Linked DNA regions of Elephas maximus indicus. The protein of the gene in region 2 interacts with the protein of the main gene of each other region in a pairwise test. Links are inferred from orthologs where the notes say so. Each region holds a gene or a part of one and is shown on either strand. Other genes may lie near its edges.

Region 1 (3,818 bases), on a different chromosome or scaffold from region 2:
CTTCACAGCCTGGGACTCCATTCCCCATCTGCTAAAGTTTCCCTCCTTGAATCTTGCTGCACTGGCTAGCTGAATAACTCTAAGCAAGGCACTTCCCCTCTCCATAACATGATGGGGTTGGACAGATCACTAAAGGCTTGTCTGCAGGGGCAGATTAACCACTAAGCAAGGTTCGCACAGGCTTACAGTGAGCAAGATGTGCACGGGCTTACTTGTGTCTGCCTACTAATATGTAGTGAACAAATTCATATGGGTTTCAGTGGTGAAACCCGTGTGAAATTGTTCACTAAAAGTTAGTAAGTAAACGCAAGTAAGCATACGAGTACCCTGCTTGTCTGGCTCGGAGACTCGGTGACCTCAACACATTACCCTGCTGATCCAAGGAAATTGGTACTGGAGCCAGAGTCCACATTTCTAAGCTCCCTGATTGTTGTTCTGGCCTCTCAGCTGGGAAGTCTCCTTCCAGCTGCCCCAGCCTAGCCCCCCACCCTGGGGCCATGCCCCCAACCCTGCCCTACCTTCTCTGTTGCTGACAGCTAGCCCCCTCCTATCTCACGGTGGGTGCAGGAACCAGACTAGGGAAGCAGGGAGGACACCGTGGAAGTGAGGCCAAGCCAGCACTGGGGGGCGGGGGGAACCTGAGGGGCAGCAGCATCAGGGGCCAGGATAGCCCTACTGAAGGGCCAGGTCCGTGCCTGCCCTGAGTTCATGGTGGTCCTGGTCAGTTCCCTCTCCTGCCAGCTGTGGAATGTGAGGCCTGGCCTAGGAGATATTTTTGTTGCACTTTGAGCCACCCCGCCCCCTGGAACTCAGACCCTGCACACTCCATGCCATAACAATGACGACCACTTCCAATTGTTTCCTAGCTTGGGGGGGGAGGGGGGAGCACTGTTTGGGAAAGGGGGGGAGCCTGGGGGAAATGCTTCTAGTGACAACAGCCCTTTCTAAATCTGGCTAGGCACTGGGTGCAGGTGGGGGTGGAGGCGCCCTGCTGCCCCATATATACAGGCCCTGAGACCTAGTCTGGCCCCACAGCCTTCTCTCCTATTCTCTGTGTGTCTCTCTCTCCTTGCTGCTCTCAGGTAGGAGCGGGGAGTTGGAGGCCTTCTTCTGGGATAAGGTGGCTCCAGGTTTAGGAAGAGGATCTTCTAGGAACAGCAAGCAATGTGTAGCAAAGATGGGATCAGCTCCTAGGGCTTCACGCAGAGTACCTGGTCATTGAGCATACATGTTCAGGTCTACACACACATATATGTGCCACAGGAATGTGGGGGCTCGCGTGTTACAGTGGAAGATGTTTGTATTGGAGCATAAGGGACCAGGATGTGTTAATGTGTTAGAGGTATGGTGTGTCTGTGTGTGTGTGTGTGTGTGTGTGTGTGTGTATGCATAAATGTTCTGAATGTGATGAAGGGTACGTACCTGTAAGCACTGGAGCTGTCTGCCTAAGATACAGAAATATCAAGTGGGAGATGTGTGTTTATGATCATGTCTGAGGATAAGCAGGTTCACTTGGGGGGAGGAGGAAGAGGATGTCCAAGAAAGATCATACAGGAAGCATGTATGTTAAATGCTAGTTCTGTGGAGGTCTGGAATATATAAATACCCATGTCCAGGCATGTGGAGGTGTTTGTGTGTGCATCTAGGGGTGGTGGCTGTTGCAGGGTGTGCACATCCTGCAGAAGCAGCTCACACACACAGCAGTATGCATGTCCCAAGTCTTCGTATACTCGAGAATATACAGCAATGTGAGTCTATGTACTCATATTTAAATGTGCACATCTGTTTTTGAGGCCAATATGGCAAGCTGGTTGGGACTTGTGTGTGCAGAGGTATCAGGAAGTAAGTGTATCTTTGTGTGGGATGTGTGGGTGAGTAGTGACATGTGCATTCACGAGAGGACATGTGAAGAGTATTTGACTGTGTGATGGATGTGTCTGTGAGATGATGCCCACAGTGTCTCCTCTCTGAGAATGTCAACATTGTCTGACAATAAACTGGAGACATGATAGAAAAGAGCTGGCTTTGGAGTTATGAGACTTAGACTCAAGTCCTTGCTATACCACTTATTGCTAAGAGTTCTTGGACACGCAACTCACTTAACCTTGATTTCCTCATATGTAGAATGGGCTGATGGTTCAGTAAGAGAATGTGCATGACAGTGCTTTGTAGACAATAAAGCAGTGAACAAATATGGCCATTAGCTGCTTCTCAGGTGGCTCAAAGTATTACTAAATGGGTATAGGCAAGGGTGGGGCTGTCTCCCACGAATAAAGAGAGTTAGGGCTCAGAGTTGAGTTGACACCAGGAAACTGTTAGAACTAGTACTTGGGGAATAGTGTTCAGAAAGCAGATGGGACCAGAGAAGCTGACCACCAATCTCAGTCTGTTTTCAGGACTGAGGGGAAGGAGTGGGTGCTGAAGGCCAGAGCCAAGGAGACGCAGAGAGATGGCATTGGCAAGGTCGGGCTGTAGCCTACTGACACTGCCTTCCTTTTCTCCAGGTCCCTGCAGGTCTGGGCCCCTTTCTTCATCTCTAAACATATCTGAGAAGCCAAGGTAAGAATTGCTGAAGATGGGGATGGGAGAATCTGGGGAGATTGGCATGAAAGCCTCAAAGCCAGGTTATGGAATTTTAGTTTTGGCCCTGCCTTAGGGAGAATGTCTTTTTATTGTTGTTGATTTGCCAGAACTCTTTACGTATTCCTTTTTTTAATTGTATTTACTTTATTGTTGTTGGGAATATGCACAACAAAGCATACACCAATTCGGCAGTTTCTGTGTGTAGGGTTTAGTGACACTGATTACATTCTTCAAGTTGTGCAACCATTCTTACCCTCCTTTCCTGAGTTGTTCCTCCCCCATTAACATAAACTCACTTCCCCCTAAGCTTCCTGTCTAATCTTTCAAATTGCTGTTGTCAATTTGATCCCATATAGATAGTTCTTAAAAGAGCATAATGCTCAAGGCAGACCTTTTCTTTTTTACTAGTTAAGCTAAATTATTGTTTGGTTTTAAGAAGACTTCAGGGGGTATTCTGGTTTTAAGGTTTAAAGATTATCTCAGGGCAATAGTTTCAGGGGTTTATCTACCCTCCATGGCTCCGGGGAGTCTGGAGTCCATGAGAACTTGAAATTCTGTTCTGCATTTTCCCCCTTTGATCAGTATTCTTCTACGGAATCTTTAATCAAAATGTTCCATAATGGTAGCTGGGCACCATCCAGTTCTTATGGTCTCATGGCAAAGGAGGCAGTTCATGGAGACAATTAGCCACACATTCCATATCCTCCTCCTATTCCTGACTCTCCTTCCTCTGTATCTCCAGGTGAATAGAGACCAGTTGTTGTGCCTTGAGGGGAGAATGTCTTGACTACTAGGAGCTCCTTACCTGTGACTAGGGAGGGGGAGTCAGGGAAAGATGAAGGTCAAAGAGAGAATATAGTCAGATTCCTACCCCCATAAGAAACCCAGGGAACTCTTCCCTCCCCTAGGAGAGCCCCAATGTGAACAAAAGGTAGCTGTCCTTCTACCCTGACAGGACTACTAGGCCATTCTTTTGGTTAAAATACAAGCCCAAAGAACAAGGGGCTCGCCAGTGACCCCTCCTGACTCCTGAGCATTGTGCTAGGTTGTGGGGCTTGCACTGAAGGGGAGAGTCCAGGGAACGGAAGAGGAGAGCAGACAAATAGCAGGGCATCTGTCTTCTTCTCTCGTACACTGCAGGTCTAGCCATGGTGGATGCGGAGATGGCCGTATTTGGGGCTGCCGCCCCCTTCCTGCGCAAGTCAGAGAAGGAGCGGCTCGCAGACCAAACCAGG
Region 2 (3,600 bases):
TCTGTAAATGCAAGGACTCCCTTCCTCCATCTCTCCTGAGCCTCAGACCCACCACCCATCGCCTGCCAGGCACCTCCCTCAGATGAAGGTGCCCAAAACTCAATTTCTCCTCTTCCCGCCATATTTGGTCCTCCTCACTCCCCCTAAAGAGCCCTGGTGGTGCAAAGGTTAAGCACTTGGCTGCTAACTACAAGGTCAGCGTTTCAAACCCACCCAGCAGCTCCGTAGGAGAAAGACATGAAGATATGCTTCTGTAAAAATTACAGCTTAGAAAATCCTATGGGGCAGCTCTACTCTGTTACATGGAGCACTATGAGTTGAAATTGACTTGATGGCTCCTAGTAACAGCAAATAAACAACAACTGCTCCCCCTTTCCTCTCATGGGAAGCTCATACTGAGCCAGGATCCCTCGTCACACATCTCCTCACCCTGACAGACACTGTCCTCACCTCCCTGTGGGTCTGCTCTGCACAGCTCTGGGTTCTATCCCTCCTCTCCTTCCCCAGGCTGGGCTGGGGCCTCCTTCTACACCTACAACTCCCGGTCATCCCCTGCCAAGACACACAGCTCTCCCAATTGTCATCCATGTGAGGTCATCTCCCCAGTGGGTCTCCCAGAAGGTTGGGGCACTTATTGTCTCTGTATTTTCCCTGCCCCCACAATGGAGCAGGCCGGGGAGGGCACATGGGACCCTCCCAGGAGTCTTGCTGCAGAAAATGGGGAAGGGCCTTCCTGGCAGAAGGCACAGCCAAAGCAAAGGCAAGAACGTGAGACAGCACCTTCTTTTCCCAGGGCAGATGGAGAGGTGGCCGGGCTGCCCCTCACGAACAGCTGACCAGGGTCTTACCTGCCTCTATGACTTTGAGGTCAAACTTGACCTTGGAGGAGCCAGCGATGACTGCATAGGACCCCTGGTCGGCGGGGCCTGCGTCCTGCACTGTCAGCGTGTGTCGCCTGCCCTCGGCTGCCAGGCTGTACTTGTCGCTGGTGCTGATGTCACTGCCTCCCCGCTGCCAGCGCACCTTCACTCCTGGCCGCTCTGTCTCTGCCTCGAATATGGCAGAGCTGCCCGCGGCCACCTCCGCTGACCGTGGCTTCTTGCTGAAGGCTGAAACTGAGGGGCCAGACCAAGGCTACAGGGCCCCCCAGGCTCACCCGTGCACCTGCCCCTGCAGCCCCTCTTGTCAACATTGTGACAAGTACTTCAAGCATTGCCTCATTTAATGCTCCAGCAGCTCTACTAAGTAGATTCAGTTATGTCCATTTTGCAGATGCAGACACTGGGGCTCAGAAAGGCTAAGTGACTTGCCCAAGATCACACAGCCAGTAGGTGGGAGAGCTGCATGTGTCCCCTGGATACCCCGCCTTCCCTGCTTGGGGCCACTGGGCATAAGCCTGGCCTCCCCCGCCACACTAATATGGGGCCCTTGGCAGGGGGCAGGTATTCTGTCTACTTGGAATGTGGCTAAATTTATCCTTCAAGGGCCTCAGGCTCAGAATCAGCAACTGAGATAAAGCTAGCCTGAGAAGTGGCTGGGGGTGGGGTCAGGATTCAGCCCTGGGCGACCTTGGTGAGGCACAGGCCAGGACCAGGACCCTGGGCTGTGACTTTCTCTGCCCTTGGCCTGGGCTCTGGGGCCTCTTGACCATCCTATCCCAGAGCAGAGGGGCTGCAGTGCCCTCAACGTGGGGGCCATGCCTGGTATGGGGCACACAGGGGTGCAGATCGTGAAGCAGGCAATCTCAGAGCTGGTAGGATTCTTAGGGACACTGGGTCCAAGCCCTCCTTGTACAGATGGGGAAACTGAGACCCAGAGAGGGTAGAGACTTATCCAAGGGCATTCGATGAGCCTGGCTCAAGTCTGGACTAAACTTGGGCTCTGCCTGCAGCGGTCTTTTCCCAAAAGGCAAGCCCAGGCCCAACTTTGCTGCAGAAGGAGGAGGGCAGGGGCAGGAAGGGGTCTTTCTGGGTCCTGGGAGTGGGATGATAGCCCTGGGGTTTCCTGCCTCAATTCTGTCATCTCTCTGTGTTCCCGACCCTGGGTTTACCCCTTATTCTCAGCAGAGGGATGAGGAAAGAGAACCTGAGCATCAAAAAGGGACCCAGGAGGATCCTCCCCTCTGTCCTGGGGCTCAGAGGCCTCGTCCTCACCGACCCCTCAGGAACTAGCTCCTTCGTCTGCTCCCCAAGTGTGGCGCCCCCCACCAAGCACTCCCTACCCCTACACTAAAGCCCTTTTGACCCCAAACCTGGAGTTACCTGTTTTTTTCCCGGGCTCTGGCATCTTGAGAGAAGTCACACCAGGCACCAAGCAGGTACAGTCTGAAGGACTGAGCAGGGATCAGCCCCCCGCGCTATATAAGGGTCCCTCCCCCTCACCAGACCCTCCTTATCTGCCTCCTGCCCAGCCACTGGCTAAATATAGACAAATTCCAGGGAGCTGAGGTCTCTCTATGGGGAAAAGGTGAGGGCCACATTGTTCCTGGCTGGTCCCTGTTCCTTTCCCCCTACCCCAATGCAACCTCAGAGGTACCCCAAACCCTGTCTGTGTGTCTGTCTAACAGGTAAACTGTGCGGTGGAAGAGTGCAGGGCCTTATTCTTGAGCACAATGGTTCAAATGCATCCTTTGCCAGGCATCTTCCTGGGCAGTGAGGGGCAGTAAGGGACCATGAAGGGCCATGAGGGGCAGTGAGGAGCTGTGAAGGGCCGTGAGAGACAGTGAGGGGCCATGAGGGGTAGTAAGGGGCCATGCAGGGTCATGAGGGGCAGCAAGGGGCCGTGTGGGGCCATGAGGGGCCATGTGTGGCCATGAGGGGCTGTGAGGGGCAGTAAGGGGCCGCACAGGGTCATGAGAGGAAGCGAGGGGCTGTGCAGGGTGGTGTGGGGCAGTGAGGGGCCATGAGGGACAATGCAGGAGCTGTTGGGGGACCGTGAGAGGCCATAGTCACGTACACAGACCCTGAGGCAGCGGGGCTGCCCCTGAGTCCTGGCTCTGCCATTCACTGAACTTTGCAGAGCCTCAGTTTCCTCATCTGTCAAGAAGGGCTAGTGAGAACACCACCCACAGCATAGGGTTGTTACACGTGTTTACAAATAGGAATGCTTAGAGCCATGCCTGGTATATAAAAAAAAAAAAAAAATTTTTTTTTTTTTTTTTTTATATAAGGAATGCTAAATGAATGTTTCTGTTATTATTTGGCCCATATTATCACACCTCACGGGGCCTGGGTGGCTTCAGGCTGTAGAACCTTGGGTTGGCCTATTCCACAGCCAGGTGCGGAGGGGGCAACATTGGGGGCTGGTGTTACCCAAGGGAAGGGTTGGGTGAGCCTGCAGTGAGGGCATCAGAGTGAATATCTAAATCCACCACACAGAGGAGAGGTAGCTCTTGCAAAAGTCCCAGGGATTAATGCCAGATGTCTTGAATTCCCTTGTGCTCCTCCACTGTTCCTCTGTGACCTTTTGCCCTCATGATAGTACCTCCCCCAGTTTGTCACCTCAAGGACATCAGTTGCTACACAGAAAGAAGCAAATCCCATGTGACCCACTCCCAGCCAGGCCCAGTAACGGTCAACATCATTGGTCCCGCAGGGAGGA

Evidence for each region.
Region 1: the proteins of MYBPC3 (region 2) and myosin-7 interact in a two-hybrid assay, tested with the Homo sapiens proteins (2 studies listed by IntAct). The link is inferred for Elephas maximus indicus from reciprocal best matches to the Homo sapiens genes MYBPC3 and MYH7.

Annotation. Positions count from the first base shown.
Region 1 is NC_064828.1:34,792,982-34,796,799, reverse strand, and holds the start of myosin-7, read left to right. Parts: upstream 1-1,041; 5' UTR 1,042-1,082; intron 1,083-2,504; 5' UTR 2,505-2,559; intron 2,560-3,723; 5' UTR 3,724-3,731; coding exon 3,732-3,818. UniProt on the Homo sapiens protein: Myosins are actin-based motor molecules with ATPase activity essential for muscle contraction. Forms regular bipolar thick filaments that, together with actin thin filaments, constitute the fundamental contractile unit of skeletal and cardiac muscle.
Region 2 is NC_064825.1:102,748,169-102,751,768, forward strand, and holds the start of MYBPC3 (myosin-binding protein C, cardiac-type), read right to left. Parts: upstream 2,305-3,600; 5' UTR 2,287-2,304; coding exon 2,262-2,286; intron 1,116-2,261; coding exon 849-1,115; intron 1-848. UniProt on the Homo sapiens protein: Thick filament-associated protein located in the crossbridge region of vertebrate striated muscle a bands. In vitro it binds MHC, F-actin and native thin filaments, and modifies the activity of actin-activated myosin ATPase.